Sus scrofa: one gene and its partner. The protein of the gene in region 1 interacts with the protein of each later gene in a pairwise test. Links are inferred from orthologs where the notes say so. Each region holds a gene or a part of one and is shown on either strand. Other genes may lie near its edges. The genes, in order: FAM92A and CBY1.

Region 1 (3,818 bases):
AGATGAATTGCCATTCTCACTGGGAAAGATTTATAACTCTAGTGGATTTTGACAACCTGAGACCAGAAAATAAAAGACAGTCTATATATAAATGCATTCAATGTATACATAAAAATACTCAGTCATAGCAATGTACAATATTTGCCAGCACAGGCCCTTAAAATTCATCTGACTATTCAAAAAAAGCTCATTAAAGGTCAATATGTAAAATAAAACAGGAGTTCCCATCGTGGCTCAGGGGAAACGAATCTAACTAGTATCCATGAGGACAAAGGTTTGATCCCTGGCTTCGCTCAGTGGGTTAAGGATTTGGCATTGCTGTGAGCTGTGGCAGGGGTTACAGACGAGTCTCAGACCCCACATTGCTGTGGCTCTGGCATAGGCCAGCAGCTGTAGCAGCCTGGGAACTTCTATATGCCGTAGGTGCAGCCCTAAAAAAGCAAGAAAAAAGGAAAAAAGAAAAACACACCAATCTGGCTCACTCTTTTATAAGCCATTTTGCACTTGTAACTAATTTTCATTAGGGTAAAGTCCTTATTAGGACTTTATTCACAAAAATGTACCATAATATTTTAATCAAAAGTATTTCCTACCCAAATTGGTATATTAAGAGGATTTTAAAGAATTTTCAACAAAAGGAAGAAATAGAAATCTCTATCCACTTTTCTAAAAATAGCTTGTAACTTTGGGTGAGTTGCTATGCAGGAGTGAAAGGATTTGAGACTTTAAGAAATGAATAGTAGTTGCTAGACAGTGACAGAAAATTAAGATACACTGTTCCAGCTGTGGTTTCTGCTTCCCTGCTCTTCCCTAGTTTAGCCAACTCTACTTACTGTTCCAGATTTTAAAATCAAACTGTCAGGAAATTGGCAGGGAAAAGATATGTCAAAACTAAGTAGTCACAGTGAAGAATTTCATGAGTCATATGTAATGAACAGTATTAGAAAAATAGTCTGCTTGAATATTCTCGTTAGTAAAACGTTAACATGCATAATACCTGTTAGTAATTTTTTCATATTAATCTTGAGAGAAGCTCTGTTTTACTTTAGAATTTTCTGTGATAAAGTTGTATTTTTAAAAATCCAAAGCCCAGTATATAGAGAATTGTTTTTATTACAGGTTATGATTAAAAGTTAAAAGTTTGCATAGTTTTAAGAAAACTTTACCCCCTATATAGCAAATGTACACACATAGAGGTATATATAAATATGTTTAAATGCTTAGTTTAGAGTTCTCTGGTGGCTCAGTGGGTTAGGGATCTGGCATTGTCACTGCTAGGGCTCTTGTTATAGCTGTTGCATGGGTTCAATCCCTGGCCTTGGAACTTCTGCATGCCACGGGCATAGCCCCAAACAAATAAATGCTTAGTTTCTTGAAATTGTGTATCTGAATTAACCTAGTTTTAAGAGTATATATACAGTATGAAGTTATGGTTAATATATAACCTATATACAAGATTATATAATTCTATGAGCATATGATTTTAATTTATTGGAAAATTGTTCTCTTTGAAATGTATTTTTTCCTTTATGAAAAACTTCAGTCACAGGTGTGTAATAAAGTGATGTGTCAAGAGATGGATCCCTATAGTAAACTCTTTTACTTATTTCAATTTATACATTTTCTTGAAAAAGAGCTTAAATGTCATTATGTGTGACAAAACTTACTGCAACTGCAAATTTTTTCCTGTTCGTTAGCTATTAAAATGATGACATGATACTTTTGAGTAAACACAATACTAGCATAGGAAATAAAACTTTATTGTAAAGAACTGAATCAGAAAATTGGGCCATGTTTTAAAATGTATATTATTGTTTAACAAAAATCTTGAAATGTTTTTGGGCAACTATTATCCTTAAGGAAGAGATGATTTTTTTAAAAAATACATGATTATATTGGAAATATTCTACCCTTTATAGTAGCGTGGCCACTAGCCATATATATGTCGGTTGAGCTCTTGAGATGCAACTAGAGTAGCCAGTTTTTAATTTTTCATTTAATTATAATTAATTTAAATGCAGATTGCTACATGTGGCTGGTGGCCACCATATTGATTATATGACACAGATCTGGATAATATGAGTACTTTGAAGCAAAGCATTATAATTGCCATCGAATTTATTAGTTACTGGTGCGCATATATATTTTGTAGTAAGTACTAACTAAATAGTAATAGTGTAGCAGTAGCTTATAAAAAGAATATACAAATAGAAACCCTATGCTGAAATAAATATTTGTAGTGTATATTCTACTCTACCTGCTCTAGAAAATTGAAAATACTTAAGTTACAGGTCTTTTCGTTTGAGGGGAGGAAAGGTTAAAGGGAAGAGAGATAGTATAAAAAGGAGAGTATGATAAACGGCAGTGACAGTAAAATAGGTGAAAGCACTGGAAAATGTAGAAAATTGTTTTACAGTAAATCATCCAAGGGTGATATGGGGGGAAATGATTTTATGTAAATAAAAGGGAAGACTTTTGTTTCTTTTTGTTTGAGATCATGAATCTAATGGATTTAAAGTTCTTTATTCTGCATGTGGTTGCTTATTCTGACATTTTATTTTACGTAGTAAAATACATTCTTTAATGATGTACACTGTTGTGGCAAAAAGCCAATGCTGCAGTGGTAGCATTTACAAAAACAGAGTGAAATGATTTGTGACTTTCTGATTTTTTTTTTTTTTTTAAATATCTTTGGTTGGGGAATACTTTTGTAGGCAGAAACTGAATTACAGAGAGCTACCATGGATGCTACCCGAACAACTCGCCATCTGGAGGAAACTATTGACAGTTTTGAAAAGCAGAAAATAAAGGATATAAAGGTAACAAATTAACAATTAAAGTTCAAAATATGTTTTCTAATCTTATTTAAATATGTGATAGATTTAAATTATTGGTTGTTTTTAGCCCATAAACAGTCTGTGTGAAAAAGATGTAAATAAAAATATATAAAATGATATTTTTAAGGAAACAATGGCATATAAAGGGGCCACATTCCCAGTCAGAAGCCAGATATTCACGTTATCAAAAATACTATTTAATCAAAGGAAACTAACATTTATTATGTTTTTATGTATCAGGCCTTATTCCAGGCACTTTACACAAATTATCTTTTCATCTCTACAGCAACTCCATCAGAGTGAGGTGGTATAATCCATATATTATGTCTTAAAAAATTAAGCAGAGATATGAAGTAACTTTCCTGAATCATAGCCAAAAATCCCAAAAATCTGAACTATAAACCACTTATGTAATTTTTACATCTGTGCTTTCCATTATAATACACTAACATTAATTTTTATAACTTAAAGCTCTCAAATACATATTATCAAATAGGATAAGAGTAGCTAACCACACACACCTGCATCTGTGATTATATGATGTCACAAGCAGCATTGCCTTATTTTAGTGTATCACATCAGTAGACCTTCAGGATCATGGACTTGAGACGGTCTTTTCAGGATCATGGACTTTTTAATTGGCATCTTGGAAAGATTTAGAGAATTACTTATGCCCATGCTATATCCTTCCAAATAAGTCATCCAAGGATGACTGCAAATTTTCCTGGAACAGCCTTTCTTTTGTCATTTTACAACTATTAGCAAAGAAAACTTTCACTTAAATAAATTATTCCTCTCTACAATCCATGGAACAACATTCATTTGCTCTTTTATTGTTTTAAACTTCCTATCATAGTTTCATAAGATTTCAGAAGTCTGACTTTTCTGATGGCCAAGCTCAAAGGTCTCCATTTCAGTTCTGAAGATCAAGAAAAATTTTTTTGGAGTTCCCGTTGTGGCAAGGAGAAAACAAATCCATCT
Region 2 (4,528 bases), on another chromosome or scaffold:
GCCCCCTGGCAGTTCTCTAATGCTGCCAGCAGCCTCCACGACGGGAACCCTTTTGTAACTGGGCAGAGAGGAAACCTCCTGAACCACCCAGGACCTCAAGCACTTGAAGAACATTCACCATCCATTTGATCAACACTTTGTGGCACTAAGATTGTGTGGCACTCACTGTGTTAAGGACACGAGGTTTCAGGGGATGAAAAAGGCAGATATTGGTGATTTTTAAAGGACTAGGGTCTGAGTTGCTTGAGTCATGGGTCAAATAACGGTGATTGGGGGAAAAATGCTTGAAAAAGAATGCTACTTTCCTCATCAGGATCTTTCAGTGAATTTTTTTTTTTTTTTTTTTAAGGGCACCAGGACCTGGAAGTTCCCAGGCTAGGGGTTGAATCAGAGCTGCAGTTGCCGGCCTACAGCACAGCTACAGCAACACAGGATCCGATCTGTACCTGCAAACTACACTGCAGCTTGCAGCAACACCAGATCTTTAGCCCACTGAGCAAGGCCAGGGATCAAACCCGCATCCTCAAGGACACTACTCAGGTTCTTAACCAGCTGAGCCACAATGGGAACTCCCTTTCAGTGGATTTTAGAGCAGAGGGTAGAAGACACGCCAGATAGGGACAGAGAGATATAACTTCTAGAGGTCAGTTTCCTGTGAGAGAGTTCTACTTTCTGAGCATGACACTCTTCGTGTCATGAACAGCGACATGAAGGGCTGTACTTGCATTAACTCACTACTGAGGTAGCGCCTCCTATCATGCCCATTTTATTCCTGAAGATGTTTCTTCACACAGAGCAGTTGAGCAACGTGCCTGAAGTCACACAGCCAAGGGTAGAGCTGGGCAAGGGAATGCAGGCAGTTGAGCGCCAGACCACTACCTCGTGGGCTCCCTGCCTCTCAGCCAACCTTCACATACACCTCTAGGCTCAACGGGGTGCTGGGTTTTTAAAATCCACACGAAACGAAACTGATGGCGGCACAGAGAGGGTCCCTTGGCAGGCCTGCTCGGGGCGCTGACTAATGGCTGCTTGGTGCGAGACCTCTTCAAGCCAGGAGCAGAATGTCTTTCCTGAATGCCTTCATCCCAGCCTCCATCGCTACCTTTATCTTTCCACATTCAGCTCAAATATCCCTTCCCTGTGATGTCCTCCTGCCTGCACAGAATAAATCTCTCTCTCTCTCTCTCTCTCTCTCTCTCGTGTGTGTGCTGACGTGGGGCCATGAACAGACTCTAAGCATGGCCCCTCATCACGAGGCCCTGTCAATCTGTTCGCTATCTCTCAGGTACATGATGAGCCCTTGAGGGTAGGGACTTCGATGTGGTTTTGTATCTCTGGATTCACAGCGATGTACCTGGGCAAACTGGCACTCAAGAGGTATGAGCTGCCTGAAAGGACTCGCAAGGATCCTGCGCAAGGAAAGCCGAGGCGGCCCTTCCCATCACCTTCCTCACCATGTCTAGCAGGATGTCCACCTTGAGCCGTAAGAGATTGTTCTCTTCCTCCAACTGCTGGTTCCGCCTCCGGAGGCGCTGAGCCTCCCTCCGGTCCACGCCTCCACTAATCCCCGACTCTGGTGGAAGGAGAGAACCAGCAGTTACAAGGTGGGGTTTCTTTCCACGATCTTGTGGGACAAAGTGGCAGGAAATGCAGCCCACCTGCTATCCACTGGCCATTTTCAAACTTCAGGCTTTGCCCCGCCAGGTTCATAGTGGGGGTTCCGTAGTCAAGGCCCAGCTCCACCTCCCGGGTTGAACGATCCAACTGTGGGTGAGACGCTCATGCTGGAGGCTACAGCACATGGGCTCTAGGCCCCGTGCCTCCTCTACTCGCTGCATGACCCCAACAACTCATTTCTTTTCTCTAATCATTACTCAGCACATTTCATAATTTTTTTTTTAAGTCAGAAAATCAAATAAGGTACAAAAATGTCTTTAAGCCAGAAGAGAAGAAATGTACACTTTATGCAATAGATGCTTTCTGGAAAAGCTATACATGCTGAAAGTTGCAAACTGAATTGTATCTACAGAGCATTTAATGGATTAAGAAGTCCTATTGCAAATTTATAATAAAGTGGAAAAGCCCTTTTAAATGTAAGACGCTCTCATTTGCTTACCATGGAGCTACACATGTCGTGGAAAAGACATAAAACGCTAAGGCCCAACGAGCAGCAGCAGCTGCTCTTGAATGTGATTTCCAATGTTTCTACAGGTCACTGAGCACCCACGCTGCACCAGACTGGCACTGAACATTCAGAGATGAATGTAACTCCTCTGCCCTTGAGGGGCTCGGAAACTGCCTTTGGAGCTGTGGCATATCCTTTTGAATGCTAGCAATGTTGGCAAAACATCATCCTTTGAGAAGCAAGTTGACTCTTAGACATGACTAAAACTGATTCCAGGCCAAGTCTTGGGAATAGAGCCAAGTCAAACTTGATAATCTCATTTGGACCCAAAAAATCATAATGAAATCGACTATCTTTTAATGTTCTTGAACAAGCTCTGACAATAATTCCCAAATAAGAGTTTAAGAATAGCAATAACAGGGAGTTCCCTGGTGGTGCAGCGGGTTAAGGATCTGGCATTGTCACTGCTGTGGTGTGGGTTCTATCCCTGGCCTGGGAATTTCCACATGCCGTGGGAGCTGCCAGTAAATAAATACATAAATAAAAATAGCAATAACATGATTTAAAAGGACACCTTCCCACGAGGATGCCTCCCGAGGACCACACTTTCCGTAAGAGACCAGGCTCGATGCTCCAGGCACACTGCACGCCAGGCTGACACTCACATTATGCAGGTTGGAGAGCGAGGCGGACTTCCGAGGGGGCGTCTTCTTCGGACTGAACGTACTCCCAAAGAGAGGCATCTTTGGCTTGATGAAGGAAAGGTCAATGCTCCCTCCTCCTAGGGTCAGGAAAAAAGTCAAGGATACAAAGAGTTGGTCATGACCTTGTGTCCCTGTCTTCAAATCATGAATACACACATCTTATCACACGGCCGTTAATAATCCTGGTGCTCGCTCCCACGTGCTGAGTGCTCACTACGTGCTGGGCAGCCCGCCAAGACCTTCCCAATGGCTCGGCCCTCACAACCAGCTGTTGTTCAGCTCCTCTTTTTATGCCTATTTGACAAGTGAAGTTTAGACAAGACTAAAGTCCTAAATGGGAGCCAGTATTTGTTTTGTTTTGATTTTGCTTTTTAGGGCCACCCTTGTGGCATATGGAGGCTCCCAGAGTCAGGGTTGAACTAGAGCTGTATCCACCAGCCTACACCACAGCTCACGGCAACGCCGGATCCTTAACCCACTGAGTGAGGCCAGGGATTGAACCTGCGTCCTCATGGATACCAGTCAGATTTGCTTCCACTGAGCCATGACGGGAATTCCAGGAGCCAGTATTCGAACACAGGTCTGTGTGGCTCTACGGGTTACGTTAACCACAGACACCTGCCTACCTGGCTTAAGTTTTGTCACAAACTGGCCTTGCCAGGCTTATAGTCTGGAGCGAGGCATGCAATCCTACTCCTTCCTGGACACTGGTAAGAATCACACCTGGGGCAACAGCTTCACCATATACTCCATCTTAAAGAAATGAAGCCATAGTTATACTTTGCTTTCAGACTGATAACAGTGCCCCTCACTCAGTCCACATGTGAGAAGACTACCTGTCCTGAATGGGAGGTAAGGTGAGTGGTGGGAGGAGGAGACCCGCAACATGGCAGGGCTGACAACGGCAGCCAGACAGCTGCCTTCAGCATATCGCAACCTGGTGCAATTCACACAGGCCCAATTAAGTTGATTTACTGACACTGCCCATGGGCGGAGAAGCAAACTTTTTTGTATGTTTAAGTAGAACACAAATATATAATGTATAAAAAAAGAATACAAATAATATCTCTGGCTTCATGAGTTTTCATTAGATGTGCACACACACACCCCTGTTGCCACCTTCCAGATCAGGATATAGAACATTTCATCACCCTACAAGCCTAGCCCGACAGCTTTAAATCCATGGACTTAAAAACAAGCAAACAAACTGGAGTTCCTGCCGTGGCTCAGCAGAAACAAATCTGACTAGTATCTATGAGGATGCATGTTCAATCCCTGGCCTCACTCAGTGGGTCAGGGATCCAGCATTGCCATGAGCTGTGGTGTCGGTCGCAGATGTGGCTCAGATCTGGTGTTGCTGTGGCTGTGGTGTAGACCAGAGGCTACACCTCTGATTTGACCCCTTGCCTTAGGAACTTCCATATGCTGCAGGTGTGGCCCTAAAAAGAGAAAACAAACAATCAAAAAGGAGTTCCTGTTGTTGCTCAGCTGTAACGACTAGTATCCAAGAAGATACAGGCTCAATCCCTGGCCTCATTCAGTGGGTTAAGGATCCAGCATTGCCATGAGCTGTGGTGTAGGCTGGCTGGCAGCTGCAGCTCTGACTCGACCCCTAGCCTGGGAACTTCCGTATGCCCCCCTCCTCTTTTTTTTCTTTTTTAGGGCCACACCCGTGGCATGTGGAGGTTCCCAGGCTAGG

What was found.
Region 2: the proteins of FAM92A (region 1) and CBY1 interact in binary tests that used the Homo sapiens proteins (3 or more experiments, as listed by UniProt). The two-hybrid records come from large-scale screens. The link is inferred for Sus scrofa from reciprocal best matches to the Homo sapiens genes CIBAR1 and CBY1.

What each region holds. Positions count from the first base shown.
Region 1 is NC_010446.5:42,975,227-42,979,044, reverse strand, and holds part of FAM92A (protein FAM92A1), read left to right. Parts: intron 1-1,543; coding exon 1,544-1,549; intron 1,550-2,714; coding exon 2,715-2,819; intron 2,820-3,818. UniProt on the Homo sapiens protein: Plays a critical role in regulating mitochondrial ultrastructure and function by maintaining the integrity of mitochondrial morphology, particularly the organization of cristae.
Region 2 is NC_010447.5:9,348,443-9,352,970, forward strand, and holds the start of CBY1 (protein chibby homolog 1), read right to left. Parts: upstream 2,886-4,528; 5' UTR 2,869-2,885; coding exon 2,791-2,868; intron 1,765-2,790; coding exon 1,659-1,764; intron 1,574-1,658; coding exon 1,455-1,573; intron 1-1,454. UniProt on the Homo sapiens protein: Inhibits the Wnt/Wingless pathway by binding to CTNNB1/beta-catenin and inhibiting beta-catenin-mediated transcriptional activation through competition with TCF/LEF transcription factors.